Callithrix jacchus: one gene and its partners. The protein of the gene in region 1 interacts with the protein of each later gene in a pairwise test. Links are inferred from orthologs where the notes say so. Each region holds a gene or a part of one and is shown on either strand. Other genes may lie near its edges. The genes, in order: DTX2, ARNT2, GLYCTK, SEC22A, FAM168A and NCS1.

Evidence for each region.
Region 2: the proteins of DTX2 (region 1) and ARNT2 interact in binary tests that used the Homo sapiens proteins (3 or more experiments, as listed by UniProt). The link is inferred for Callithrix jacchus from reciprocal best matches to the Homo sapiens genes DTX2 and ARNT2.
Region 3: the proteins of DTX2 (region 1) and GLYCTK interact in binary tests that used the Homo sapiens proteins (3 or more experiments, as listed by UniProt). The two-hybrid records come from large-scale screens. The link is inferred for Callithrix jacchus from reciprocal best matches to the Homo sapiens genes DTX2 and GLYCTK.
Region 4: the proteins of DTX2 (region 1) and SEC22A interact in binary tests that used the Homo sapiens proteins (3 or more experiments, as listed by UniProt). The two-hybrid records come from large-scale screens. The link is inferred for Callithrix jacchus from reciprocal best matches to the Homo sapiens genes DTX2 and SEC22A.
Region 5: the proteins of DTX2 (region 1) and FAM168A interact in binary tests that used the Homo sapiens proteins (3 or more experiments, as listed by UniProt). The two-hybrid records come from large-scale screens. The link is inferred for Callithrix jacchus from reciprocal best matches to the Homo sapiens genes DTX2 and FAM168A.
Region 6: the proteins of DTX2 (region 1) and NCS1 interact in binary tests that used the Homo sapiens proteins (3 or more experiments, as listed by UniProt). The two-hybrid records come from large-scale screens. The link is inferred for Callithrix jacchus from reciprocal best matches to the Homo sapiens genes DTX2 and NCS1.

What each region holds. Positions count from the first base shown.
Region 1 is NC_133503.1:11,211,980-11,216,907, reverse strand, and holds the start of DTX2 (putative E3 ubiquitin-protein ligase DTX2), read right to left. Parts: upstream 3,170-4,928; 5' UTR 3,106-3,169; coding exon 3,077-3,105; intron 1,705-3,076; exon of another isoform or gene 1,605-1,704; coding exon 1,441-1,604; intron 967-1,440; exon of another isoform or gene 854-966; intron 1-853. UniProt on the Homo sapiens protein: Regulator of Notch signaling, a signaling pathway involved in cell-cell communications that regulates a broad spectrum of cell-fate determinations.
Region 2 is NC_133507.1:27,187,468-27,192,605, forward strand, and holds the start of ARNT2 (aryl hydrocarbon receptor nuclear translocator 2), read right to left. Parts: upstream 3,366-5,138; coding exon 3,335-3,365; coding exon of another isoform or gene 2,695-3,334; exon of another isoform or gene 2,637-2,694; intron 1-2,636. Other genes in the region: uncharacterized protein LOC128932337, read left to right, coding at 2,695-3,641, 4,271-4,292. UniProt on the Homo sapiens protein: Transcription factor that plays a role in the development of the hypothalamo-pituitary axis, postnatal brain growth, and visual and renal function. Specifically recognizes the xenobiotic response element (XRE).
Region 3 is NC_133516.1:34,811,116-34,816,287, forward strand, and holds the start of GLYCTK (glycerate kinase), read left to right. Parts: upstream 1-2,111; 5' UTR 2,112-2,273; intron 2,274-2,872; coding exon of another isoform or gene 2,873-3,024; exon of another isoform or gene 3,025-3,088; intron 3,089-4,584; 5' UTR 4,585-4,717; intron 4,718-5,172.
Region 4 is NC_133516.1:79,844,656-79,849,146, forward strand, and holds part of SEC22A (vesicle-trafficking protein SEC22a), read right to left. Parts: intron 4,040-4,491; 5' UTR 4,034-4,039; coding exon 3,996-4,033; exon of another isoform or gene 3,943-3,995; intron 1,976-3,942; coding exon 1,775-1,975; intron 1-1,774. UniProt on the Homo sapiens protein: May be involved in vesicle transport between the ER and the Golgi complex.
Region 5 is NC_133511.1:67,374,243-67,379,193, reverse strand, and holds the start of FAM168A (protein FAM168A), read right to left. Parts: upstream 3,231-4,951; 5' UTR 3,033-3,230; intron 103-3,032; 5' UTR 1-102.
Region 6 is NC_133502.1:178,805,427-178,809,917, reverse strand, and holds part of NCS1 (neuronal calcium sensor 1), read right to left. Parts: coding exon 4,437-4,491; intron 2,103-4,436; coding exon 2,014-2,102; intron 1,667-2,013; coding exon 1,589-1,666; intron 1-1,588. UniProt on the Homo sapiens protein: Neuronal calcium sensor, regulator of G protein-coupled receptor phosphorylation in a calcium dependent manner. Directly regulates GRK1 (RHOK), but not GRK2 to GRK5. Can substitute for calmodulin. Stimulates PI4KB kinase activity.

The DNA of each region.
Region 1 (4,928 bases):
GCAAACACCCTCTAAATTAGCCAGGCGTGATGGTGTGCACCTGTAATCCCAGCTACTTGGGGAGCTGAGGCACGAGACTCTGGAGCCTGGGAGGCGAAGCTGCAGTGAGCTGAGATTGCGCCACTGCACTCCAGCCTGGGTGACCGAGTGAGACTCTGCCTCAAAAAACAAACAAAACAACAACAAAAAGAATGAAAGGAAACACACTCTGATCAACCTCCTTTTCAGTCCTTTTCAGTTCTCTCTGTTCATTTTCTCTCTTCCATTAGACTATGAGCAACTGAGGGCGAAACCACTCACCTGCCTCTCCCCCTCCCCCTTCTTGGCACCGTCCCCGCCCCACCCCACCCCCGCCCCCAAGAAGCTGGCATGGTGTAAAGAGACTCACTAAGAGAACAATCCAGTCTAACCCATTCTACATGTGCCAGTGTGCTCCTGTAAAATGTCCCTCAGGAGGCCAAGCACAGCGGCTCAGGCTTGTAATCCAGGCACTCCAGGAAGCTGAGATGGGAGGATCACTTGAGGCCAGCCTGGACGACACAGAGTTAGAGACCAGCCTGGACAACACAGAGAGACACGGTCTCTAGAAAAAGTTAAAATATTAGTTGGGTATGGTGGTAGGCCACTCAGCTCCTCCCGAGCCAGGAATTTGAGGCTGTGGTTATGATCACTCCACTGCACTCCGGCCTGGGCAATAGCAGTAGACCCCACCTCAGACAAATACATACAATGCCCCTCATGGAATTCTGCTAAAATCCTTCTGCTCCCGAGTCTTGGCACGGCCCACATAACCCTCCCCCTCAGCCCTCCACCTGCTTTTCCAGCCTCCTCTACCACATACTAAGCTACTTACAGTGGCCCAGCTGTGTCCCGGTGGCTTCATGACTTTGCAAATGCTGACTCCTCTCCCAGGCGACTGTGCCCCACTTTCTAAGTCCTACTCCTCCTTCACAATCCCCTTCAACTACCACCTTCCAGAAGCCTTCCTGACCCTCCCCCGTCCCTTCCCTTCCTGGATGTGGGTAGGAGGGCCTTATGATTTCCCCCATCTCAGTATATGTCACACTGACAATATCACTGACTGTGGTTTGTCTTTGCCACCAAACAATGAGCTCCCAAAAGACAGAGATCTTGTCTGGCACCCAGTAAAGGTTTATGCAACAAAAGAAATGAAAACTGCCAGTTCAAATGCAGAAATCGTGACTTGTGTCTTCCATCCCATAGAGCATGTCTTAAAGTGGAAAGCATCTTCTAAGACTAGTTAAACAGGAGAAGCAGCTGGCAAGACGCCACTGAAATTTATTTGAGACAGGTGGCAATCAACAATTAACTCCCAGGGTGACCGTTTATCCTGTAGACCTCAAATTCCACCCTCCCCAATCCCCACCTTCTCTGCACCAGACAGAGAAGGCAGCAAGGTCAAGTCCCTGTGGCTCTCACCTTTTTCTCCTGAGAGCTGGCACGAAGCGTCCCTTTTGGATGAAGACACCAGCTCCTTAGGAGGAATGACTTGTTTGAGTTCCCATCTTGATGCAAACCACAAACAACAAAAACCGGGCAAATCTGAAAGGCTTGCTGACTCAGCAACACAATTTCCAAGGCACCTTTGCCAACAAGGAAGATGATGATCAGGTTTTAAATTGAGAAACAGCGGTTAGTAAAAACGAAGGTGCAGATGTTGGATCCGTGTGCTGTGCCTGGGGACTGAAAATCACCAGATTTATTTTCCAGTAGCCTGGGTGGAGCAGAAGGCCTCCTCCACCCACTTATCAAGGAGATGGTTGAAAAACAACAAAAAGCAAACAACAACAAAAAAACCCTGAGCCCTTCTATTTTTTTATTATGTATTTATTTTTGGAGATGGAGTCTTGCTCTGTCACCCAGGCTGGAGTGCAGTGGGGCGATCTCAGGTCTCTGCAGCCTCCACCTCCCAGGTTCAAGCAACTCTCCTGCCTCAGCCTCCCGAATACCTGGGATTATAGGCACAAGCCACTACACCCAGCTCTGAGCCCTTCTTTAAAAAAAAAAAAAAAAAAGTTTCGTTATCCCTCTGTCACCCATGCTGGAGTGCAGTGGCATGATCATAGCTCACTGCAGCCTCCAACTCCTGGGGCCAAGCAATCCTCCTGCCGCAGCCTCCCAAACAGCTGGGACTACAGGTGCCAACAGGCCCATCCAATTTTTTGTAGAGACAGTATCTCAGGAATCTTCTTCATTTCTCAGGCTTGTGTCAAACTCCTGGACTCAAGTGATCCTTCCACCTCGGCCTCCCAAAGTGCTGGGATTACAGGCGTGAGCCACCGTGCCTGACCTGAGGCCTTTCACAGAAAACCCTAAAAGAACTTCATAAGCCAGTCTGGCAGCTAAGCATCCAGGAAATCAACATACCAGAGACAGTAAATATTTGGCCAAGATCACAGAGCAACCGAACCAGAGGGCTTGCTGTCAGGATGGCTTAGGTAAGCCCGGATGGTGGCTACCAGAAAGTCTGCCTTCTTTAACGCTAGAGGAGCTAGGAGGGCATGCAGAAATATTCTGAGTTTCTCAAGGGTCCAGGCGTTTGTACACATGCTATTTATTTCCATCGCGGTTGGCGCTTAGAGAAGCGGAGCCGGCTTGGAGGAGGAGGGCGGCTAGCTGAGAGTCGCGATGAAAGCGCAACTCCAGAAAAGGGAACCGAGTTCTAAGTCTTCGTTGGCACCCCTTACGCACCCGCAAAAGGGACCCAGGAGGTCCTGGGAAAGTAGAAGGCAGACCCCAGCCGGAGAGCAGGGAAGCACAGTTAGAAGGCAATCTCCTCCAAAGTACAACCCCCAGACCGTAAGTCCCTTCACCTGGAGGTAGACCCCAGTAGGACCCACCCCTCGTCAGAGCCGGTGGCAATCTCGTCACCGCCTCCTCCGGGTCCTGTGGGAAGGGGTGCGCTCCTCCCGAGCGACCCGAACTCCCGGGGGCCGCGCCCCTCCGCCTGGGAGCCCCTCAGCCTCCACCCAGACGTCCCCTCTCGCACCCGGCACCCTGTCCCGTCCAAGGCTCCCGGCGCCTCCCAAGTCCCCCCAACTCCCGCCACCAGGACCTTGAGACCGGAGACCGATGCCCCGACATCCCTGATCTCCCGGGACCCCCGGGTGTCCCCGCCGCCCGGGCCGTCTACTCCCCTCACACCCACGCCCGCCCCCTTCCGGTCCCGGCTGTGCTCCGACTCCCCGCGCCACCCCGCGCCCCAGCGACGCGCAGGTAGCCTGCCCGCCCTCTCACCTAGGCTGAGGAGGACGAGAGAACGGGGCTGAGGGCACCACAGCGCTCGGGCTGTAGCTTCGGCTCGGCCTCGGAAGGTCTCCGGCTGCAGCTCCGACTCTCAGGAGAAGGCAACCAGAGTGAAACTCAGCGTCGCAGCTTCCGAGCGCGCCGCTGCGCATGCCCGGGGCGCGTGGGCTTCCGGGAAATGTAGTCCCGGAGGGGCCCAGGGGCGGGCAAGGGGCCGGACGCAAGGGGAGGGGCTCAACCCAAGGCGCACCTGCTCTGGTCTATGTTTTCTTCCTTCGCCTGTTCACTCATTCACTTATTCTTTAGTTACTGACTTCATTTTAACTAGTTTTTACTAGTACATACATGGTGCCAATTCAGGTGCTACTGTTTCTCTTTTTTGTTTTTCAAATTAACTTTAATTTTATTTTTATTTGTTGTACAGACGGGAGTCTTGCAATGTAGCTCAGGCTGATCTCAAATTCCTGGCCTCAAGTGATCCCCTTGCTTCAGCCTCCCGAAGCACTGGGGTTGCAAGTGTGAACCATTGAGGCCAGTCGTTTTAAATTTTTTTCTTTTTTCTTTTCTTTCTTTTTTTTTTTTTTTTTTTGAGACCGAGTTTGACTCTTGTTACCCAGGCTGGAGTGCAATGGCGCGATCTCGGCTCACCACAACCTCCGCCTCCTGGGTTCAAGCAATTCTCCTGCCTCAGCCTCCCGAGTAGCTGGGATTACAGGCACGCGCCACTATGCCCAGCTAATTTTTTGTATTTTTAGTAGAGACGGGGTTTCACCATGTTGACCAGGATGGTCTCAATCTCTTGACCTCATGGTCCACCCACCTCAGCCTCCCAAAGTGCTGGGATTACAGGTTTGAGCCACCGCGCCCGGCCTTCTTTTTTTTTTTTAGAGTCAGGGTTTGACCATGTTGGCCAGGCTGGTCTCAAACTCCTGACCTCAGGTGATCCGCCCACGTTGGCCTCCCAAAGTGCTGGGATTACGGGCGTGAGCTACCACACCCAGCCAAACCTTTTTGGATTTAAAATTTTGCAGGGCATGGTGGCTCATGCTTGTAATGCCAGCACTTTGGGAGGCTGAGGTGGGCGGATCACCTGAGCTCAGGAGTTCAAGACCAGCCTGATCAACATGGAGAAACCACGTCTCTACTAAAAATATGAAAAATTAGCCAGTGTGGTGGCACATTCCTGTAGTCCCAGCTACTCGGGAGGCTGAGGCAGGAGAATCGCTTGAACCTGGGAGGCAGAGGTTGTGGTGAGCCGAGATCGGGCCATTGCACTCCAGCCCGGGCAACAAAAGCGACATACATCTTAAAATAATAATAATAACATTTTGTCTTTTCTTTTTTTTTAATTTTTGCTACTGTGTAGTGGGAGTGTGGGATTGAACAGGTGGATCAAAATGGTTTCTCTGCCGGGTGCGGTTGCTCACATCTGTAATTCCAGCACTTTGGGAGGCCAAGGCGGGCAGATCACCTGAGGTCAGGAGTTCCAGACCAGCCTGGCCAACATGGTGAAACCTTGTCTCTCTCTTTTTTCCCCCCAGCCCCTCAAAACCTCGTCTCTATTAGAAATACTGAAAAAAAATTAGCAGGGTGTGGTGGCTCGTGCCTGTAATCCCAACTACTCCGGAAGCTGAGGCAAGAGAATCACTTGAACTCTGGAG
Region 2 (5,138 bases), on another chromosome or scaffold:
TTGGACGGAATTTGTACCTGATTTCCTCATGCTTAAATTACAAAAGGTTAAGATGGAACAATGACATTGGGAAAACAATCTCCTTCTTAATTGTGCCACTGGAGCTAAAATACCCTTTCATGCATATAACTAATTCAAACCTTCACTATTTCCTATAAATCAGAAATACTTAAATGGCATTCAAAAAGGTAGCAAAACAAATACACACACACACACACACCGGAAGATTCTATGACACCACTCTCTAATCTAAAGGATTTATGTCATTTCTGGCCAGAGAGAATACAGAAAATCAGCCAATACAACACTTTCATTGATCAATGTAAGGAAATTGGAAATGACCCAGAAGTAGGGGATACCCAGGACCACAGGATATGAGAAATATAGTCAGGACTGTCATAGCAGAAGTCATGAGGTGAATATCTGGGAGCCCAATCCTTCTTTCTGCTCTCCCAGAGTAACTGGTAGAATCCTAACCTAAAACCCAAATGGGACCTTGAAGGAGCAGATTCAAAATTTGGACATGGATTATATCAACATGTCAATGAAGACCCCCAACATCACCTGTCACCAACAAGGCCCTAGAGAATCCCCACTACACATCGCAGAAGAGTGTCATTGCAAACGGTTCTGCTGTTGTGAAGTGGTCAGCTGGGAAAAAAGGAACAGGTGGGAGAGGATGGGGAGGTGACTGGCTGTGGCCTTTGTACCCTGGACACAAACTAGCAGTGGAAATAAATCCTGGTGCTTCCCAGTCCATTTGCTCTGTTTACCAATCTCTTATTCTTTGCAAAGCAACCATATCTGGGGAGAGGAGGGAGGCAGAAAAAGGAATTAAAAGATGTATCACAAGGCTCTTGCCCATGTGAGGTAGGCTGTGGGTGACAAGCTTGGGTGCCCTGGCTTTTTTTGTTGTAAATCGCCCACAGAATCTGAAATCTCTCTCTTTGGCTCAAACCCTGAGCCATCTCCCTTTAAGAGATTAAACCCTTTCTCCTGAAGAAGAAGATAGAGATTCACATGCGGCAAGAATAACACCTCCCCATGGATCATCCTGAGGAGACCAGTAAAAAAAAAATGATAGTCTGTAATAGCAAAGGTCATCACCGCAAGGGAATTTTCACTTGAGAAATTACCACCATGCTCAACATCCCTGGTATCTCTGTCAACAGAGAAAAGCATCTGCCAAGCTGGCCAGGTGTTGACTAACAATGCAAAGAATCCCCCGCGCTTGCAGCATTCGAGTCTCCCGCAGTCCAAGGCACAGGCACAGGCTCTCCTGTGCTCCACACCACTGGACCAGGGGCAGCGACTCCATCTTCAGTCCACATAGATCACAGAGAAATGTAATGGACAAAACAGTTTTAAAGAATCATGTCCTGGCATAGAAATTAGGTAAATCATCAGGGATTTCACTCCTGTTCCGAATGTAAACCTATGTTGCACTAAAAGATCTTCATTTAACTTCTTTTGCTTTCTCTGATTTCATAACATTTAAATCTATCAACTTTCTATTGATTTTGAATTCGTTGAATGGGTTGAAATGGCAGCTTCAGTCGAGGCAAAATGGCACAGATGTGTTTTCAGACCAGCCAGGTTCCCCCTCAGTGTTCTGGACAGAGGCCTCCCTCCTTGTCTGTTCTTCCAAACGCCCCTATTTTTGCTGATGGAACAGCCTTCCTTGGAATCACACAGGCTCTTCACCTTGGCGTCTCCATGGACTCCGCCCTTTGCCTCTCCTTGGCCTCCTCCTTTACTGTTACTCCAGATCTAATGAGTGCCAAACCTGAAACTCCTCCACTTGCCCAGTGTGCATTCCTCCCTCTCTGGTCCGGCCACAGCCACCAAGTCTGGCCTCCCCAAGACCTGCCTCATTTCATGCTGGCCTCCCTGCCTCAAGTCTTGTTCCCTCCTTTCTGTGTTTCCTTGACATGGCTGACAAATCAACCTTCCAGAAAAAAGTGATCATGCAATTCCTTGTTCAATACCATTGAGGACTCTCTCTCTCTCTTTTTCCTACTTTCTATTTTATTTTATGGTTCTTAGGAAGTATGCAGAGAACTCTCCCTTAATGTGGAGAAAATTCACACTCCTCAGTCTGTCCTTCAAAGCCTGGTCACATCCAAACAACTCAATGTTGAATCCCACTGCTGCCTCTTATATCCCCAGTCTACCAACCACTCACTGACCTCTGCACATGCTTAGAACAAGTCCACTGTCATTTATGCGGGCAGTGCCCCTCTGCTCCTGGCTCTGTACCTTCAAACCTTCCCATCTTCAAAGCTCAGGCGAAACGTCCAATCTCCAAAAGCCGTCCCTGGCCACCTTTGATGAAAAGGATCTTTCATTCCTAACTCTATGACAGATGCTTTCCTTTGCGAGGCATTGATGTTCCTCCCCCACCCTCCCCGTCTCCAAAACATGACCTCCCTCTGCTGCGAATTTCCTGGGGGCCACACTCTGTGACTTTCCCTGCATCCTCCACAGGGACCTAGGAACCTGCCATGCCTACAGCAGTCTCTGCACAACACTCAGAAGTTTGTACCCGCTTAGATGTCCACCTTTCTCTTCTCCCACACCCTGCTCATCAGGTAGAGAACTTTCCCAAGGAAAACAGAACTTCCCTGCTACAGTACCAAAACAGGTCCAGGTTGCCACTCCATCACAACTCTGCCATTTTTGAAATCTTTCGGAATGAGCTCAGTTGTCACAGGCTGCACTCTGCGGAAACGTCAGCCCAGAAGGCAGAGGATGTCATTTGGGCAGAACCGGGGCTACTCCACTCTGGTGACCACAGGCTGGGTGTTTTGTGCCCCTAGAGGGTTAGGACGCACAGCAGCCAGTCGCCAAGGACGCAAAGGACCAGCGCTTGGGTGCGGGGCGGGCAGGGCAGAGTCCCGGGAGTTGTACCCTGTTGAATACCGGCTCCAAACTTTTCCCTCCGTCAGCGCGGAGCCCTCCACCAGCCAGGACTGGCTGACGCCGCGATGCCACAAAAGCCGGGACCGGAAGAGAAAAATGCGTGGGATGGGGAAGGCAAAGGTGGTTATTTTCAGAACTTCGGGGGCTCCCGGGCCGGCCCTTGGGGTTCCCGAGCGTGTGAGGTCAGCGTGCTGCCGCCCGCAGGGCCGGACCGGCGCCTGCCCGGGACCGGATGGGCAGGGTCGGGATGCAGACGCCGCTCTGGTGTTGGTGCTGATGCTGCGGCCGCCGCGCGCTGACAGCCGCTCCGCCACCCACCGCGCGGAGCTGCGGCTCGGCGCCCCCGGTCCGCTCCGGCCCCGGGCAGGGCCTGCGGGCTGCGGCGGGCAGCGGGGCCCAGGCCGCTACTCACCCGGAGGGTTGACCGCCGCCGGGGTTGCCATCTTGTTCGGAGAGGATCCGCGCGCGCCGCCAAGGGCGCGGGAGGGGCGGCGCGAGCCGGGCGCGCAGCCCCGGGGACCCGGTCAGGCCCAGGCGCCGCCGCCGCCACACAAAGGACGGCGCGGGCGGGCGGCGCTCCCTCCGCGCTCCCAGCCGCCGCGGCCGCTCGCCGTCCCCGCCTTCCCCGCCTCCGCCTCCCCCTCCTCGGCCTCCTCCTCCCAGTTCAGCCTTTGTCGCGCGGCGGGGGGCGCCCGGCCCGCGGCTCCCCAGTCAGAGAGGTAGCACCGCGAGACTTGGGGCTGCGGGCGGCGGGACCCCTAGGTTGGGCGCCGCCGACTGGCGGGGCAGAGGCTGGGGCGCCCCCTCGGGCCCGCGCAGGGACCGCAGGCGCCCCTCCCGCGCTCGCCCGGCCCGGGCTGCCCCCGCGCGCCCACGCCCCAGGTGTCAGGGCGCGCATCACCGAGGGGCGCCGTGCCCAGGCCAGGGGGCCAGGGCGGAGCGGGTGGGGGAGAAGCCCATTTAGATTCAGAGGGAAGCCGGCCCTGGGAGACGGCCGCGAGGAACAAAGGCGCCCCAGAGCTGCCCACTTAGCATGCCAGAGCCGCGCTGCTCGGCTCCCAGGCCGGGGACGCGACCCGGTGCCGAGCGGAGGGCTCCGGGCCCCGGGAACTCCTAAGGCCACAGGCACCTCCAAGGCCACCGCCGCACGCAGCTTCGGAGTGCACGGTGCACACGCCCAGGCACAGCAGCCGGGCCCTAGAGATTGCGAATGCTTTGGCCTTGAGTAAGGCGCTCAGCTCTACCTTCCTTCTTGCGGTGATTACTGCCCTTGGTTATTACCTGAGGGCGTTGCAAGAGCCTTATTTACACCGCCAAGTTGAGAATTTAAAAACATTTTTAAAAATAGGTTTATCTGCGTATCCTGGTGAAGTTAGGATGCAGAGAACTTGGAGCGGTTGTTTTCTACCAGACACGAGGATCCCTGTGAAAGGTAATGGCCCCTAGGAGGGACACGCCACGATCGTGGTCCCCTGTAAAGGTTAAATGGAAGAATAAATACATCCCCGGTGAACGCTGCTGAGAAGGGCAAGATGGCCCCTAAACGCAGGCATGTTTGCAGAAACATCAGACTGTCTTAAATCCTTCCAAAGAAGCATTTTCTGGAGGGTAGAGAAACAATGTTTGGGGTGTATGTTCAAATAAGCATTCTCCACTTTGGGAGACCAAGGCGGGCAGATCACGAGGTCAAGAGATCGAGACCATCCTGGCCAAATGGTGAAACCCCGTCTCTACTAAAAATACAAAAAAAATGGGGTCTGTCGGGGGGGGGAGGAAATAGGGGAGGGATAGCGGGGGGTAGGGAGTTGGGGAGAGATAGCATGCGGAGAAATGCCAGCATTTTTGATGGGGAGGAAGGCAGCAAATCACATTGCCATGTGTGTACCTATGCAACAATCCTGCATGTTCTTCACATGTACCCCAAAACCTAAAATGCGATTTTAAAAAATACAAAAATTATCTGGGCGTGGTGACACGCGCCTGCAGTCCCAGCTACTCGGGAGGCTGAGGCAGGAGAATGGCTTGAAACCGGGAGGCGGAGGTTGCGGTGAGCCGAGATGGCGCCACTGCACTCCAGCCTGGCTGCTGGCGATGGAGCAAGACTCTGTCTTAAAAAAAAGGGGTGGGGGGTGGCGGGCGCGGTGGCTCACGTCTGTAATCCCAGCACTTTGGGAAGCCGAGGCAGGTGGATCACGAGGTCAAGAGATCGAGACAAC
Region 3 (5,172 bases), on another chromosome or scaffold:
GCCTGTAATCCCAGTACTTGGGGAGACAGAGGCAGGCAGATAGCTTGAGCTCAGAAGTTTGAGACCAGCCTGGGTAACATGGCAAAACCACATCTCTACAAAAAATACAAAAAATTAGCCAGGCATGGTTGTTCACGCCTGTGGTCCCAGCTACTTTGGAAACTGAGGTGGGAGGATCACTTGAGCCTAGGAGGTGGAGGTTGCAGTGACCTCCAAGATTGCGCCACTACACTCCAACCTGGGTGGCAGAATGATATCCTGTCGAGACAGAGAGAGAGAGAGAGAGACCCTGTCGAGACAGAGACAGAGAGAGAGAGAGAGAGAGAGAGAGAGAGAGAGAGAGAGAGAGAACACCAGTGAGAGAGTTGGAAGTGGGGGCCGGAGGAGGGGAAAAGTTCATGACAAGAGCACGGCATAGTTTAGAGAACTATGGAGAGATGTAGCAACTGCCAAAGGGAGCAGGTAGGGAGTGTGAAAAGAAAAGGAAATTTCAGGACATGCTAAATTAATAATGTGAAGGAGAAAAGTTAAGCCCTGGAAACTGAGCAGGCATAGCCTTTTCTTTCTTTTCTTCTCTGATGCATGACTGTTGCTTCCTGACCTTTGGGTTGAAATGTTATACATTAACCAGACTCCCTATTCTTCATTCAAACTTAGACTAGATGATGTGGGAGATAGAGACCTTTGTGATTGTTACCTCTTTACAATAGAATGTTAAGCAACATCTTTCAAGTATAATCAATAGTAGCCAGTCAAATCTTGTATTTATGTTAGCCTTTTTTGGAAAATGTTGTAATTTCAGCACCTTATTTTTGCCTATATAAACAATCTTCAGCTTTCCCCACACTGGGGAGCACTAATTGTCTGTTTACCCAAATGGCTGCTCTCACACTTTATGCTTTAATAAATTCTTTTAACTGGATCTCAAACCTTTTGATGATTTTTAGGTTGATGATAGAAATGTGTTTTTGGGCCAAGTGCAGTGGCTCATGCCAGCAATCCCAGTACTTTGGGAGGCTGAGGCAGGTGGGATCATTTGAGGTCAGGAGTTTGAGACCAGCCTGACCAACATGGTGAAACCCTGTCTGTACTAAAAATACAAAAATTAGCTGGGCATGGGCTGGCTGCAGTGGCTCACCCCTGTAATCCCAGCACTTTGGGAAACCGAGGAGGGTGGATCACCTGAGGTCAGTAATTTGAGACTAGCCTGGCCAACATGGCGAAACCCCATCTCTACTAAAAATTAGCCAGACATGGTGGCATGTGCCTGTAATCCCAGCTACTAGGGGGGCTGAGGCAGGAGGATCGCTTGAATCTGGGAGGTGGAGGTTGCAGTGAGCCGAGATCACGCCACTGCACTCCAGCCTGGGCAACAGAGCAAGACTCTGTCTCAAAAAAAAAAAATTAGCTGGGCATGGTGGCAGGCACTTTTAGTCCCAGCTATTCTGGAGCCTGAGGCATAAGAATCACTTGAACTTGGGAGGTGGAGGTTGCAGTGAGAGAGAGAGGAGAGAGAGAGAGAGAGAGGGAGAGAGAGACAGAGAGAGAGAGAGAGAGAGAGAGAGAGAGAGAGACAGAGAGAGAGAAAAGAAAGAAAGAAGTGTGTTTTTGTATTGTTGCTTTTTTTTTTTGAGACAGGGGCCCAGGCTGTGGCACAATCAAGGTTCACTGCAGCCTCTACCTCCCAGGCTCAGGTGATCTTCCCACCTCAGCCTCCCTAGTAGATGGGACTACAGGAGCATGCCACCACACCTGGCTAATTTTTTTTTTTTTCGTAGAGATAAGAGTTTCGCCATGTTGCCAGGCTGGTCTCGGACTCCTAGGTTCAAATGATCCACCCACCTTGGCCTCCCAAGTGTTGGGATTATAGACTTGAAACACTGCACCCTGCCGAGAAACGTTTTAATAAAATTGTTAGAAAATCAAGTGTGTGATTTGTGACGCAACTCTCCCTTCTACCTCCCTAAGAAAACATCAGTAAAAAACAGTGAACTGTTCTGTGGTTTTGGAGCCTGATCAGGACTCGTCTAATGAATATGGGAAGGCATCAAGCCAGCTCAGGGTGGGCCCAGGAAGAGAGCAGGGACAGCGAGGAAGGACCAGAGTCATTCGCGTTTACATGCAGCTTTTATGCTTGAGGATCACGGAACAGAACTCTTGCTAAGCCAGAGCTGTATTTGGTGGCCCATGGTGAGAGAGGGAAGAACACTAGTAAGTTGTGGAATTAAAGCCATGAAGAGAAGCGGGAATGACTTAATTTGGCTCCAGAAGCGGTGAGTCGTGGGGAAGTAGTGACTCTCAGTTCGTTTGCTCAGCCCAGTGCCTGACACCTAACAGCAGCTCAGAGTGCATCTGCTGACTGATCACACAGAATAAAGGAAGGGAGAGGCCGGGCGCGGTGGCTCAAATCTATAATCTCAGCACTTTGGGAGGCTGAGGTGGGTAGATCGCTTGAGTTTTGGCGTTCGAGATCAGCCTGGCCAACAAGGCGAAAGCCCGTCTCTACTAAAATACACAAAAATTAGCCGGTCGTAGGGGCGCAGCCTATTCGGGAGGCTGAGGCATGAGAATCGCTTGAACACAGGAGGCGGAGGTTGCAGTAAGCCGAGACCGCGCCACTGCACTCCAGCCTGGGCGACAGTGTGAGATCCCGTCTAAAAAAACACAAACTGCAATCGGTGAGGCGGGGATCATTATGCCTAATGGAGAGATGAAGACAGTGAGGCCTGAAGGTGACTCCTTCCAGGTCTATTGGTGGCCAGAGAGGAGCCAATACCCTAAATGCTCCTTTCCCAGACACCGGCTTCAGCAAGAGCTCGCACCCGCCAGCCCCACTCCACCCACCCACACTTCCGGCTTCCGCTCCGCGTACCCGCGAGTACTTCCGGCTTCCAGCGCCGGGCGCTGCGGCCCGGAGCTGTTGGGTGGTAAGTCTGCGCCGCGAGGGCTCACAGGGCCTTTAGAATCAATCCCGGGGCTGGGCGACGACAGCTCCCGGTGGCAGCAGGCCCTTCTTTCTCGCATCACCAGGCATTACGGGACAGCCAATTCCCTCGCGAAGGCCCGACCTAGGGATGACGTCATTTCCGTCCCTTGCTGGTTGGGTGAACCGGAAATGGCGCCAGCCCCCTTTCGTGATAGGGTGGAGTCAAAGCCGGTAGTATTGTTATTTCCTTGTTTTGCTCTGGAACCGCCTGGAGTTTTGGAGAGACCATGTCTTCGATGGAATTGTAGAACTTTGCAAATGAAAATGCATAGCGGCCAGTTAATTTGTTTTTTAATTTTGAGACAGTTACCCAGGCTGGAGTGCAGTGGCGCAATCTCGGCTCATTGCAACCTCCCTGCATTCTAGTGCTTCAGCCTCCCGAGCAGTTGGAATTACAGGCTCCCACCACCACACCCGGCTAATTTTTGTGTTTTTAGTAGAGACGGGGTTTCACCGTGTTGGTCAGGCTGGTCTCAAACTCTAAATTTGAGTTAAGATAAACGACGAACAATTGTCATTAAGTCCTAAACATTGTGTGCGACATATTTTTTTTTAAATTACTTGTTGGCTGGGCGCGGTGGTTCACGCCTGTAATCCCAGCACTTTGGGAGGCCGAGGCGTGTGGATCACGAGGTCAGGAGTTCAAGACCAACCTGACCAAGATGGTGAAACCCCATATCTTAAAAAAAAAAAAAAATTTATGTCTTTAAAAATAAAAAAAAAATTGTTTACCGGGAGGCAGAGGTTGCAGTGAGCTGAAATCGCACCATCATGCTCCAGCCTGGTCAACAGAGGGAGACTCCCTCTCAAAAAAAATTGTTTATCTGAAATTCAGATTTAACCAGACGTCCTGTATTTTCTCTGGCAGCCTTAGCATTGAGCGTTCCCTGCCTTGTGCTCATATCCAGTGGCAAGGCTGGGATCTTCCAGGCTCTTGTCCATCTGGGAAATAGATACAAAACTATAAGGACCTTAGTTGCTAGGATGCTTTTTTTTTTGAGACGAAGTTTCGCTGTTGTTACCCAGACTGGAGTGCAATGGCACGATCTCGGCTCACTGCAGCCTCTGCCTTCTGGGTTCAAGCAATTCTGCCTCAGCCTCTCGAGTAGCTGGGACTACAGGTGCACACCACCACGCCCAGCTAATTTTTTGTATTTTTAGTAGAGACAGGGTTTCATCATGTTGACCAGGATGGTCTCGATCTCTTGACCTCATGATCCACCCGCCTTGGCCTCCCAAAGTGCTGGGATTACAGGCTTGAGCCACCGCGCCCGGCCCACTAGGATGCTTTTAGCTCCAAGCCTAATGGGCAAGCCCCATGGGTCCCCCTGGCAAAAACTGTACCCATTTTCAGAATCCCCATGACCATGCCCTCTGTGTTCCCTTTCACAACAGAAGTCCGGCACAGCTGTCTTCTCCTGTGGGAGAGCTGAGAACTAGGCAGGCAGAATGGCCAGAGTCTAGAAGTAACCACCTTCTTTGGGTGTGGGGTAAACTGGTGTTTGAGATCGTCTCTGTTACAGTGGACAGTATCAGAGAACCTGAGGGTGTCAAGGGGAAAGCTTAGTGTTAATCTCACCTCATGTCCCATTTTGCAGATGAGACCCAATGAGAGCAATGGAGGTGTCCCAGCCACTCAGCAAACGTGTAGTAGAGCTGAAACCTCAATTCCCAGCATCCTTACCCTGCTCAATCCTTACTTGCTGATGAAGTCAGCTTGCAGCATTTATGGTAGGCATTTATTAAAGTAGGTGCAATAGTACATCTGTGGTAGAGATGGGCTCTTTGGGTCTTTGTTGTCCCTACACCTCTCTGCAGATTCCTGACCTTCAGTCCAAGGCTTCTTTAGCTTTTACTCTGCCCAGTGGGGAAAATGGCTTTTTGGGCTCAGCTTTGGGAGCTTGGCCTTTGCCTACTTCAGCCCCTGGGCTCTCACCACTGTGGGTGGTGTGGCTTAGGACTTGTTTTTGTTGTCTTGGAACCAGAAGGGGTGTTCATGGCAGAGTTGGGTCTGGCCAGCTATGTGGGTAGAAGGGCATCCTTCTCTGTCCTGCAATTGGGCTCATGGCACATGGCCTCACATGGTGCCTGGGCACTTTCCTAAGGTTCCACCATGAGCCAGACTGTTCCAATTCCTGATTTAAACCTAAATTTCTTGCTAAACTGGTCCTGAATACTGGGATTCC
Region 4 (4,491 bases), on another chromosome or scaffold:
CTGCCTCATCTCTCCCCTCTTGGACTGTCTCACCCTAAATTCCACTGTCTCAGGACTGTTTTTGATCAAGTCACTTCCCTTGAACCTGCAGCAGAACTTCCTATAACATATTATATCAAAGTGACATCCTTCAATCTGAACTTTCAGGGCAATCCAGGATCTGGCCCCACACTGATTATCACACGTCTCACAACTATCCCAAAATCACCATCCACTGAACCAGGATAAGCATGTTAATACACCTGCCATGCTAAGTCACTTTCTTTTTCTACCTCTCCTGCCATGCTAAGTCACTTTCTTTCTTTATTCTGCCTCTCCTCTGTACACCTGGAATTGCCCTCCTCCTTGCCTTAGCCAACTCTTATTAATTCTTCAGGAGATGGCTCATGTCTCATCTCAACAATGAATCCCTCTGCTTATTATATCCTATATGGACTGTGTCTTTGATTTCTGTATGCATAATCAGTATCAAACTTCTCAGAAATTAATTGTTCTCTAATTGTTTCAGGTCTAAGCTTCCCAGGGTGGTCTCATCCATTCCCATGGTTTTAATCACAAACTGTAAGCTGAATTCCAAATCTAAATTTATATACTTGTCCTCTTCATTAAGATTCAGACTCATGTATCCAGCTGCTTCCCTAGCAGTGCCCCTGGATATCTAATAGGCAGCTCAGATTTAACATGTCCAAACAGAATTCTTACTTTTTATCAATGAGGCACACTTATCCTCTCCTGTCTTGCTCATTTCAGCTCCAATGTCCATCCAGTTCCTCAGATCAAAAAAATTACAGGTGATTATCATTCTTTTTCCTACACATCCCATTTCAATCCAGTAGGAAGATTTGCTGGTATTAATCCCAAAATACACCCCAATCTATTTATTTTCATTACCACCCTAGCTCATTACACTCATCATCTCCATCTGAACTTCTCTAAGAGTCTTCCACCTGACCTCTCTGCTTCCACTCTTTCTCCTTTAGTGTATCCTTCACAGAGCACCCAGAATGATCTACTCTATGCCAAAATGAAATCATGTAACTCTACAGCTTAAAACTCTCCAATAGCTCCCTACTAGACTAAACAGACTAATAGACTCCAAACTCACTATGGCCTAGAAGGCCCTCCATAACCTGCCCCATTCCTACCTTTCTGACCTCACTTTCAACAATTGTCCATAATGCTTCGGGATCACTGGTTTCCTCTCTCTTGATATGTAACAAAGGGCTTCCCCACTGGCTGATACCTCTGCCTTGCTCTTCATCCACAGCATCCTTCAAATAACTACCTCCTCTCTCATCTTTTGAGTCTCTGATCAAATGTCACCCTCTCAGAGAAGCCTTTGACTACCATAAATAGTCACTCTCTATCCCACTGCCCAGTTTTACTTGATTCATATATGATACAGCGATAAGTGCTATCTCCTCCCACTAGATGCTGCTTCTGCTCTATGGCAGATATCAGGTAAAAATTTTCTATTTACAATTATAGTTTGCCTACTACAATCCTAGGTATGTAAGAATGCGAATATTTAGTGATTAACTTATAAATATCTGTATCTGCACAACTATAAAATTTCCTAGAGCCACATATAAATACAAAGAAACTGCAAAAAGGCTGCTGCTGACATAATGACTATTTAGCGTAAATTCAGAATGATATGATTCTTGGCTTGAACAGGTTTTCCTAATCACTCCTTTCTACCACAACCACTTAAACTTCATTAAAATGACAACCACTGGGCAAGTGAGTCAAATGAAGCAAACTGAAGTCTTACTTAATGTTATAATGTCCAGTTTTCAGCGTACATCTATCAGGAAGTTGAGCAAGTTTCCTCGAGAGCATTTTAAAATACTTTCTGCACTCCTGCATTCCTGTGCTTTGTTCATAATCAGTAGAAGCAGAAAGTGGCAGTCCATCTCTGACACGAAGGACTGAGGCAGATAAAATCATAGACATTTCAACCAACAGAGAAGACCTAAAACAAAATGAACAATTTGGGTTAGATAAAAATTAAAGCCAAACTTGATAAGCATATGCAAAAATGTTCAACTCACTAGTAATATAAGAATACTAATTAAAATGGCCAGGTGCAGTTGCTGATGCCTATAATCCCAGCACTTTGGGAGGCTGAGGTGAGCAGATTACAAGATGAGACATTTGAGACCAGCCTGGCCAACATGGTGAGACCCTATCTCTATTAAAAATACAAAAATTAGCCAGGCATGGTGGCGCACACCTGTAATTCCAGCTACTCAGAGACTGAGGCAGAAGAATTGCCTAAATCCAGGAGGCAGAAGGTTGCAGCGAGCTGGGATTGTGCCACGGCACTCCACCCTGGGCAACAGTGAGACTCTGTCTTGGGGCTGGGGAGTGGGGGGTACACCAACCTGGGTGACAAGAGATCCTGTCTCAAAAAAACAATAAGTAAAATAAAAGTAGACTGCATTCTTTTATGTCTGGCCTCTCTAGGATACTAATAGAAATATTAGGAATAGTCTTTATTAATAGGTTGCAAATTTCATGTAGTCTTCAGTTATTCTTTGACAGAGCGATAAATATATGATCCACATTTTCTAGAATACATACTGAAAAAAGAACACAATTTTAAGTTCCATTTGTTTAACAAGCATTTACTGAATATCTACTGTGTGCCATCACCCCCCAAATTAGAGAAATTCAGATGAAAAGAGGAAACAACACATGTGTGTTGCCCATCACTTCACTCACTTCATTAACTGGAAAACTAAAGTTGGACAAACTTACATTTCAAATTTTTCTTTTTTTGAGACAGGGTCTGACTCTCGCCCAGGCTGGAGTGCAATGGCTTGATCTACACTCACTGCAACCTCTGCCTCCAGGTTCAAGTGATTCTCCTGCCTCATTCCCTCTGGATTACAGGTGCCCGCCGCTACACCTGGCTAATTTTTGTATTTTTAGTAGAGACGGGGTTCAGCTGTGTTGGCCAGGCTGATCTCAAACTTCTGACCTCAAGTGACCTGCCTGCCTCGGCCTCCCAAAGTGCTGGTATTACAAGCGTGAGCCACTTGGCCTCAAATATTCCTAACGCATACTTTAGCTTTTAACTAAAAGCAGAACACAGCAGTTATATTCCCTGTCAAAATTCTTATAAGGTTGTCAGAGGATTGTTTCTACTGATCCATAGTTAGGATTTTTCTTAGGGAAAAAATTAAACCTCTTCCTATGAGTATTTTGATTCAGCATCCAAACCAGTTGAATTTCAGCCTGACAAACTGGGATGAATGTCCAGTGATCAATGTCAGGCCTAACCAATTTGCAGACAGACTCCAATCACCTTAGGCTAAGCTGTCTCTCCAATTCAATGAACTACTTTTTTCCTTTTAACCACGGATTCATAATGTAGTTTGTTGTTGTTTTTAAACTAATCTTATCTGCACTGTGATAGCAGAAAAGAGAATCTGTCCATATCAAGCCCAAGCTAGGTTAGAGTATCTTTAAGGTCTAAGAAGGGTTGTGGTTGGCAAAATCCCAAGGAAGAACCAGTGGAACTGTGGAAAGCAAGAGGTTACAACAATTGCATGGGAAGATTTAGGACTTTTTTTTTTTTTTTTTGAGACGGAGTTTCGCTCTTGTTACCCAGGCTGGAGTGCAATGGCGCGATCTCGGCTCACCGCAATCTCCGCCTCCTGGGTTCAGGCAATTCTCCTGCCTCAGCCTCCCGAGCAGCTGGGATTACAGGCACGCACCACCGTGCCCAGCTAATCTTTTGTAATTTTAGTAGAGACGGGGTTTCACCATGTTGACCAAGATGGTCTCGATCTGTTGACCTCGTGATCCACCCGCCTCGGCCTCCCAAAGTGCTGGGATTACAGGCTTGAGCCACCGCGCCCGGCCAGATTTAGGACTTTTTAGCTTAAAAGGGCCATAGATAAATGTTTATAGCACTGGTCCATTTTTCCTCACCTTTAATACAGAGAAAATATTATACCCGCTTTAGACAGCAGCAGTTAACTCACAGGGAATCTGAATAGTGGCTCTTGTTTCCTCTCGCCATCAGCAACTGTTGAAGGAAAAAGCACAAGTTAGAATCTAGGTAAATCTGGGTAAACCTTTATGTAAAGGCTGAGGAAAATAAATTCCCATAATGCCAAACTACTATAGTAGTGTTAGCAAGTTCTTAGACCTAAGATAACAAGACATCTCTCTTCTTCAGGACCTTGTGTGGGTAATGACAACAGGTTCAATGTCTCAGGAAGGTATCTCTCAAAAGGTAATAAAGCCCAACATATAAGTAGATTTTGTATATATGTTCTAGCCAAATGCTTTCACAAATGCCATTTTTAAGATAAAAACATTCTATACTGGGGGTAAAAGCACTCATTTATTTTAGTTCATAATTTCCCAGTCTTCAGTCATCTAAATGCCACTTTCATAATTATCTTCATCCACCTGTACTATTTACCTAATATTGGTCTTTGAACTGACTTACTTTTCTTGTCCTCTATTTTTTAG
Region 5 (4,951 bases), on another chromosome or scaffold:
GATTTGAATCCAGGACTCTTGACTCCTAAACTCATGGGCTATTCATTCCACCAAGGCTTCTGTCTACCAATACCTCCATCTGCTCTCTTCTCACCAGGGTATCTGAAGGATCAAATGAGGTAAAGATACAAAAACATTACTACTGCACAGGTGACCACACTGTGGAAAAATAAAATCCATCAGCACATTTCTCCCAGGCAATTACTTTTCATTTTGAGCTTTCAAAAGCTAGAGCTTTAATATAAACATCTCACCTCTAGACCAAGCCTGCAGATCTGCAAAAACAATGTCTAGACCCCAGAGTAAAGTTAGAGAGAAATGCTTGCATTAGATTACAGTCTCATTGAATTACAGGTAACTGCTCAAACCTGATTTTTATTGTAATACAGAAAGCTTCCTTATTATAAAACACTTTCAATTCAAAGGATAAGTCCAACTTTCCACCATTCTGCCCATTTTGGAGCTAAAAAAAAGTATTCTAAATGGATATTTTTGTGTGCTCAATTGTGAAAGCCACGGAAAATGGTTTGTTTGTGAGCTAAACTCTGAAGCTTGAACAAAAACAAAAAGAATTATTTCAATCCCAATGGTGTCGATTTTGTCTTGTTTGCATCCCTCCTCATTTTTTTTCAGTCTGAGCTCTAATCAACAGCCACTTTATGTTTAACATATCATCACAGTTAATGCAATTAGGTCCAGAACTGTTTCTCTAAAGATGTTCCCTCCATTTACACTCCTCTGTACCTTCCATTATCACTATTCTGCCATAAGAATGAGTATATCATTAAGGTTTAAATCGAATTTCTGATGAATAGATGGAGATGCTGTTTCTCTAGTTAATACAATGCACCTACATCAACATCATTCCCTAAAAAAAATAAAAATGACTTAATATGCTTTATTTATTCACATCTGACAGAATTCTGATCACCTGAATTCCTTTGGAAGAAAATTCAATCTTTAGAAATACAATCCAATTATTTTAAATCTTATCAATGCCAAAAACAATCATATGAAAAACTCCATCAGTACCAAACCATCTCACCAATGAATATTTATGACATTTCCATATTTCCTGTCTTCTCTCTGTTTACATAAAGCAGTGGTGCCAAGACTCATCTCAGGATTATTAGCCTGCAATACAATGATGGGCCTAATTGCCTTGCAAACCAGGACACTAACAAATGGCGTCTTCAAGCAATCAAATCAACCCCCTAATTTTAAGAGGGGGTAAAAAAGGCCCAAGCTCTTTTTGCCTATGTGCATGTTGCCTACCTACAAAATAAATTCAGCCTCATATTTTTCAGGCTCACTCATTAGTTCTCAAGCAAGGAATGCACCCTTAACAATCTCAAGCTCACCAAATCTATTTAAAATTCCAGGTATAGTTTTTAAACACACCAGGAGGAGAGGGGAAAGGAGAAGGCAGAGACATCAAACAGAAAGATACCTATTACATTCCAGTTTATCTTCTCCCCACCTTTAGTTTGGAAGTATGCTTTCTTTCCCCCAACTTTCTTTTTATAATCTACAAATAACAGAAGACACCCTCCCCTCCTTAATTCTACCTTAACTAAAGTCCTTTCCAACTTTACCCTTTGGGCTGACTTGACTTCCAAATTATACTAATATAAATAAAACAAACAAAAAGATCAAACGAACAGCTTAAAATGGCCCCTAAGAATGAGGTCTCTTCTGTCTCTGCTGCAAAGTCCCCTCTAACAACAGCCTTACTGCCTCTCCTTCAATCACAGCTACCAAAACTGTCCATTTAAGTATTCCAACCCTTAACCCTCACGGGTCTCCTGGAGGTCATCCCAATCCTTCACATCCAAAATATCCAACCCACTTCCCCCTCCCCACCACAGCTCACTGTCCCTCTCCATCCTCTCTGCCCCATCCATACCAGGTCTCCTACTCCTTAAATTTGCCCTGTGCCACTTCTTCATCAGCAATCACCTCTCCAGGCCTACCAGCTCATCTCTGAAAATCCTTCCAAACTCCCTCTGCCACCTTGGCCAAGGGACATTTTCTTCAAGATACCATCCCCCAACTTTGCTCACCACCTGCCGCTATCCTTTCAATTAATGCAGCCCAGGGATGTTTTATGTGTCCTCTGCCTTGACCCTGCAACCAAGGAGCCACCATGCCCTTTCCACTGATTGAAAGATCCTAAATCCAACCCACTGTGCCCCTCGCTCGATTTCCATCCTGTTCTCCCATTTTGGACCTGACTTCCAATTTGACTCCTTCTTGTCAGCTCACCATCACACTCCCCTCATTGAATGTCCCACCTCCACTAACTCCTATTCCAACCTCGATCAGCCCACCCCAGGAAACCCCCAAATTGCACTTCTCTGCTCTAACGCATGCTATTCCGTAAGTCTCCACAAATTTCACCAGCCCCAGATAACAAACACCCACTTCAAGCTCAAGTCTCAACACCTGCCAAGCCCCTCACCCCCAGCTCCTGTTACCTCCATCACCCTGCTCCAGGTCCACCCCAAATTCCACCCTCCTGAATTAACACTCCTCAGGGTCCTATCCAACCAGATACAGGTCCTATCCTGTATCTGTTACTCACTCTCCACTGAAATCATTCTCCTACCCCTCACCCCAGCTCAGATCCGAAGCTGTCAACTGCTCCAGGCCAACCCCAAATCACCACCCTCATTCAGTCCCCTCCCCCATTAGAAGCCATCCCACCCTAGTCTCATCTTCCACCTCGCCCCAAGACCATCCCGAATTCCAATCCGACGCCCCCACCCCACTCTCCGGTTCCAGGTTGGATTATTCTCCATCAAAAGTCCTCCTCCCTCGTCGCCCGCCCCCCAACCTGCTTGGGTCCCACCCTCACCCCACCCCAGCCAGCGTCTGGACAAGTCTCCCCCGCCAGCCTGCTGTTCCATCGCTACCTCAACCCCCTCCCCCAAACCTGCGCGGAGGCTCGGCAGCCCCCACTCTCATTCTCGCCAGCACAACCGGCCCAGGCTCAGGACGAGCCGACCGGGCGGCGGGGGGAGTCTCCTCACCGGCTAGCAGCTGCAGGCGAAAACGACGGCGGCGGCTGAGGCGACGATGCCCTTGTCTTCTCCGAAGGCTACGGCGGCGACGCTCTCGCTCCCTCGCCCGTGTCCAGCAGGGTGGAGGATGGCACGCGGGGACCGGAGCCTCCTCCTCCTCAGCGACTCGGCTCTGAATCCTCTGCAGTAGCCGCCGAGGAGCCCGACGGGTTGGGGGGAGGGGACGCTCGGCTGCAGGCGAGGGAGGAGGAGGTGGAGGGAGGAGGCGGGGGACCGCTGAGAAGGGCGGGGAAGGAGGAGCCGGCGCGGCGCCGCGACACGTCCCACAGCCTCAGAGCGCCTGGACCACAACTCCCGGCATGCCCTGCTTTGGCCTGCGCGCGGCCTGCGCCTCCCGCCTCGAGCCCGGTACAGAGGGGCCGCGCCCTCTCTGGTCACGGACAATGGAATAAAGCCAACCATCCGCTGGCAGATGTTGTAGACTCAAAGACCACCTGTGAGGAAAGTCGGATCGCCCGAGGCCCCAACCCCAAGGGGCAGTGCTCGCAGTGTCTCCATCTTCTTTGCATAGACACACACACTCCCTCTCTCTCCTCGGTCTCTCGCTCTCTCGGTCTCTCTCCCTCTCTCTCGACTACACCTCCCAGCATGCCTCTCAGCTTCCCACCCTCCTTCCGTACCCTTCTCAGACCCGGTACTACACTTCCCAGGGAGTGTGTTCCCTGTGAAATGCTGGGAGATGAAGTTCTTGGTTCTTCCTCCATATTAAGAAAAAGAAGTGAAAGAAAGGAAAAAGGGAAGGAATATGCCAGCCCACCGATCCAGCCCCTTGATGGGCTAGATCACCTATGATTCTGCTCTTCCTTCGCCATCTCCGTTGCAGCTGTCTCTCACCAGAACTAATGCCGGAGCTTCCTCGCGGGTCTCCCTGCAAATTTGAGGACAATTCGGCAACTTGAATACAAACGTACAAAGGGCATACTTCTTGACCCAGCTTTATTACTTTTAAGAATTTACCTTAAAAAGATAATCGAACAATTTCGAAAAGATTAATGCACAAATTGTTATATGAGGTAGTTAATTATGGGGGGGAGTAAATGTTCATCAATAGGGTGCTGTTTAAATAAAGTGTGACATATACATACAATGCAATACTAAGGAGCCATTTAAAATGATGATATAGGTCTATTTATTGACTTGAAAAGCTATTTACAATTTATTCTTGAGGGAAAAAAATTGATTACAGAACAACTTGTCTAGACGGGTTCAATTTATCTGAGGTTTGACACAATATTCTATAAGCCTGGAGAGATTTCAGGAAAGAGGTTCCCCAAAATATTAGCAATTATTATCTTGAAGGAAAGGGTGTCAGATTGCACGTAATTATTATTACTTCTTTTGAGACGGAGGCTGGAGTGCAATGGCAGGATCTCGGCTCACTGCAACATCTGCCTCCAGGGTTCAAGCGATTCTCCTGCCTCAGCCTCCCTAGCAGCTGGGACTACAGGTGTGCACCACCACGCCCAGCTAATTTTTGTATTTTTGTTGAGATGGGGTTTCACCATGTTGGCCGCGATGTTCTCATCTCTTGACCTCATGATCCGCCCACCTCTGCCTCCCAAAGTGCTGGGATTACAGGCGTGAGCCACTGCCCCGGCTGTAATTTTTATTTTCATATTGTTTCAATTGTTTAAAAGGAACACATAATTTTTTTTTTTTTTTTTTTTTTTGTAGAAGACGTCCTCTTACTATATTGTCCAGGCTGGTCTCAAACTCCTGGCCTCAAGAGACTCTCCTGCCTCAGCTCTCAAAGTGCTGGAATTACAGGCACAAGCCACACTACGCTGGCCAATTTTTTAAGCTATACTCCTTCCGAAAAACATAATTTCCAAATCTAACAACCTTTCTTTACTGCCTAGACACTTTCC
Region 6 (4,491 bases), on another chromosome or scaffold:
AAAAAAAAAAAAGTTATTTTAGTTTAAAAAGAAGTTTGATTTAAAGAAGGATTCCTTTTTTTTTTTTTTGGAGTCCTTGTTTTAGGCTTTTATTTTAGGTTCAAGGATGCACGTGCAGGTTTGTTATATGGGTAAATCCTGTGTTGTGGGGGTTTGCTGCACAGATTATTTCATCACCCAGATGACATAGTACCTGATAATAGGTGGGTTTCAATCCTCACACTCCTCCCACCTTCTACCCTCAAGAGGGCCCCAGTGTCTATGGTACCTTTTCTTTTTTGAGACAGAGTCTTGATCTGTTGCCAGGCGCCAGTTTGGAGTGCAGTGGTGCAATCTCGGCTCACTGCAACCTCTGCCTCTCGGGTTCAAGCAATTCTCGTGCCTTAGCCTCCCAGGTAGCTGGGACTACAGGCGCGTGACACCACACCCAGCTAATTTTTGTATTTTTTTAGTAGAGATGGGGTTTTACCATGTTGGCCGGGATGGTCTCCATCTCTTGACCTTGTGATCCACCCGCCTCGGCCTCCCAAAGTGCTGGGATTACAGGCGTGAGCCACTGCGCCTGGCCCCCTTTTTTATTTTTTTTTATTTTGAGACCCACTCTTGTGGCCCAGGCAGGAGTGCAGTGTGTGATCTTGGCTCACTGCAACCTCCACCTCCTGGGTTCAAGCAATTTTCCTGCCTCAGCCTCCCAAATAGCTGGGATTACAGGCATGTGCCACCATGCCTGGCTAATTTTTTTGTAATCTTTTTTTTTTTTTTTTTTTTTTTTTTTAAGTAAAGACAGAGATTCACCATGTTGGTCAGGCTGGTCTCAAACTCCTGACCTCAGGTAATCCACATGCTTCGGCCTCCCAAAGTGTCAGGATTAGAAGTGTGAGCCACCACGCCCGGCCTATGGTTCCCTTTAAAGAAGGGTTTCTTAACCTTGGGCCTGTGGATAGAAATCAGCAGGACTGTGAACTTGGGGGAAAAAATCAGTCTATCTTTTCACTAACCTCTAACTGAAATGTAGCTTTTCCTTCGATAGGAACCTAGATGATGGTCCCCAACAGGACCTGCAGTCCCCGTGATCTGTCGACAGTGGGGTCACAGGTATTTTCATAGCGTCCCAGTTGCAGATAGGACAGCTCCCAATTTCCCAGTGGGGCTTGTCAGCCCCACCACTACATCTTAGTTAATGCGTTAAGAAGAGCAGCTCACAGAATGCTACATCACAGATTCTTTTTTAAAAATACTCTGACAGCTGTTTTCTAAAATAATCAGCTTCCTTTTTGATCTTCTGAAAGCCGTTATTCTGAGAAGTCCGTAGGCTTCTCCAGAATGCCAAAGGGGTCTGCGGCAAACCAAAAAAATAAAGCCTGAGGACTTTGGTTGATTAGAGAAAGCACACCAGCAAACTGACTTAAGACTCTGGACACTGGATGCGGCTGGCTGCTGACCGTGGATGTGCCACCAGGCCGTGCCGCCTGCCGTGAGCCAGCCCCATACTCGATGGCAGCAAAGGCGGGCCCAGGCTCCAGGGACCCCAATTCCTGCCCCGACCCTTTGCCTCCCCGGTCTGGGACCAGCCCCAGCCCCACCTCACCTTGTCCATCATGGCAAAGATCCGGTCCACTCTCTTTTCTGGAGTGTTCTCCTCCTCTGGGAGCTCCACGGTGTTCCCCTGCAGGGACAGACAAGGCGGGACTGGGGCCTGGCACCCTGGGCTTTGGGCTCTTGGCCACACATTTGCCCCCCAGACCTGGCAGGTTCCAGATGAGAACCACCTCCCTCTTCTTTCCTCTCCCCATCCCTGCCATTCTGCCCTGGAATATCCCACACCCCAGCCCCACTATCTGCCAGCCCCTGCCTGCCAACCTGCCCAGGCAGAGATGTACAGAACAGAACAGCTCAACCAGGGACCCCCGCTCCCACCCTGGGCAGGGGCACCGCTGCACAGGTGCTGTCTCTTTCTCAGTCACTGGCTTTGCCCCTCCTGCCATCCCCACACCATGGGAACCAGCCTCTCACCACCATCTGGTAAATGGCGTCCACAATGTCTAGCATCTCATTCCTGGTTATGTAGCCGTCGTTGTCTAAGTCATAGAGTTTGAAGGCCCCTGTAAGCAACAGCCAGCGCTGAGTGAGCAAGGCTGGGGCGGCTGGGAGGGGTCTTCAGCTCACCCCTCCTCTCTGTACCCCAACATGAAGTTAGAGACCGGATGGCCCATTCTTCATCAGGTCAACAAATATTTACATCAAGATAGGGACAGACACACACACACACACACACACACACACACACACACACACACCCCATTGCAGCTAGGGTTAAAAATAAATAAGGCTGGGTGTGGTGGCTCACACCTGTAATCCCAGCACTTTGGGAGGCTGAAGTGGGTGGATTGCTTGAGCCCAGGAGTTCGAGATCAGCCTGAGCAACATGGCAAAACCCCATCTCTACAAAATACAAAAATTAGCTGGGCGTGGTGGCATGTGCCTATAGTTCCAGCTACTTGCAAGGCTGAGGTGGGAGGATGGCTTGAGCCCAGGAGGTGAAGGTTACAATAAGCCGAGATCGAGCCACTGCACTCCAGCCTGGGTGACAGAGCAAGACCTTCTCTCTCTCACTTTCTCTCTCTCTCTCTCCATATATGTATGTGTGTGTGTGTGTGTGTGTGTGTGTGTGTGTGTGTGTGTGTGTGTATTAATTAATTAAAAATAACAGGACCAGGCACAGTGGCTCACGCCTGTAATCCCAGCACTTTGGGAGGCCGAGATGGGCGGATCACCTGAGGTCAGGAGTTTGAGACCAGCCTGGCCAACATGGTAAAACCCCATCTCTACTAAAAATACAAAAATTAGCCAGGCATGGTGGTGAGCACCTGTAATCCCAGCTACTTGGGAGGCTGAGGCACGAGAATCACTTGAATTCGGGAGGCAGAGGTCGTAGTGAGCAGAGACCGCACCACTGCCCTCCAGCCTGGGAGACAGAGCGAGACTCTGTCTCTAAATGAATAAATAAAATAAAGGGAAGAGGCATTGGGCTTCCAGGGCCGAGGCCTCAGAGGCTGGAGCCGAGTGAGTGGGAAGCCAGGGGCCTGGGGTGTGGCCCAGAGGAGTCTATCCACCACCCTACTCCCTCCCCCACTCCAGCCCCACCTCCTCCCCATGGTCCACTCGGCTCCCACAGTTATGCTGTGGCCCCGACAGTCAACATTAGATAATAAATAGTGCAACACGAGGAGGATCTTTTGCATAAATAAAATTCTCTTTTATTCCTTAAAAAAAAAAAGGCCAGGCACAGTGTGTCACGTCTGTAATCCCAACACTTTGGGAGGCCAAGGCAGGTGGATCACGAGGTCAGGAGTTCGAGACCAGTCTGGCCAACATAGTGAAAACCTGTCTCTATTAAAAATACAAAAATTAGCTGGGTGTGGTGGCAGGTGCCTGTAGTCCCAGCTACTCAGGAGGCTGAGGCAGGAGAATCACTTGAACCCGGGAGGCAGAGGTCATGGTAAGCCAAGATCGTGCCACTGCATCCAGCCTGGGCAACAGAGTGAGACTCCACCTCAATCAATCAATCAATCAATAGAAACTGCAGGGTCTTCTGGCTGCTGGCGGAATGAAGTGTGAAAGTCTTCCCGAGCAGGGAGCTCTGGCCACATGGTTTCCATCTTCCCCACCCTTCACCCTCCCTGCATTCCTGCTAATGCCGCCAGGGGCCTGAACAGCCTCCCTCCTGTCCTCTCAGCCTCCCTCTATGGGCCTCGCACCTGCGGGCCCCCCTGCCTGGAGCCCTTGCACCCCTCCCAGCTCCCCTCACCCCAGCCCAGCGCCTACCAGGCAGGTCCCCTCCTGCTCAGGACTCCCTCTCCCGCTCGCCTACAGTTTCCTGAGGTTTTGGTAAATCCTGCTGCCATGCTAGACTGACAACCGTGAAAGCAGGACCTATCTACCTTATCCCCAGTGGGTCCCTGGTACCAACAGCTGGCTGCGTGCAGTCGTCATCTGGCGAATGAACAAGTAAGTGAAGGAGTGAAAGCCGGAATCAAAGCAGTGGCTATGAAAGAGGTGGGTCCGGCACTGAACTTGTTTCTTGGGTCCCCACTGCCCCTCCCGCTGCCCAGGTCTGCACCTGCCAGAGTGTAGCCAAGGCTCCTGCCAGCCTCTGCCCTCAGCCCTCCACCTCCAGGAAACCCTCTGACCTAGAAGCGCCAATGTCTGTGCTACTCTCTGAACCCGGGACAGCTGGTCTGGCCTAGTTACTTGGCCATGTGAGGGCTACCTGCCCAGGGCCAGGCCTGCCCTCAGTGGACAGACAGAGCTGGGACACCATCTGCGGTCACTGCGGTGGGCGTCTGGTGCCCCTGCCTGGTGAGGGCAGAGGACTGCCTCCCTCTTGCCTGGGCCCGCCAGCTGCTGCCCCATAGGGCCAAAGGAGCTGGACTTACACCGCAGCTTCTCATCCAGGGTCCCCCTCGAGGTCACCGACAGTGCCTGGATGAA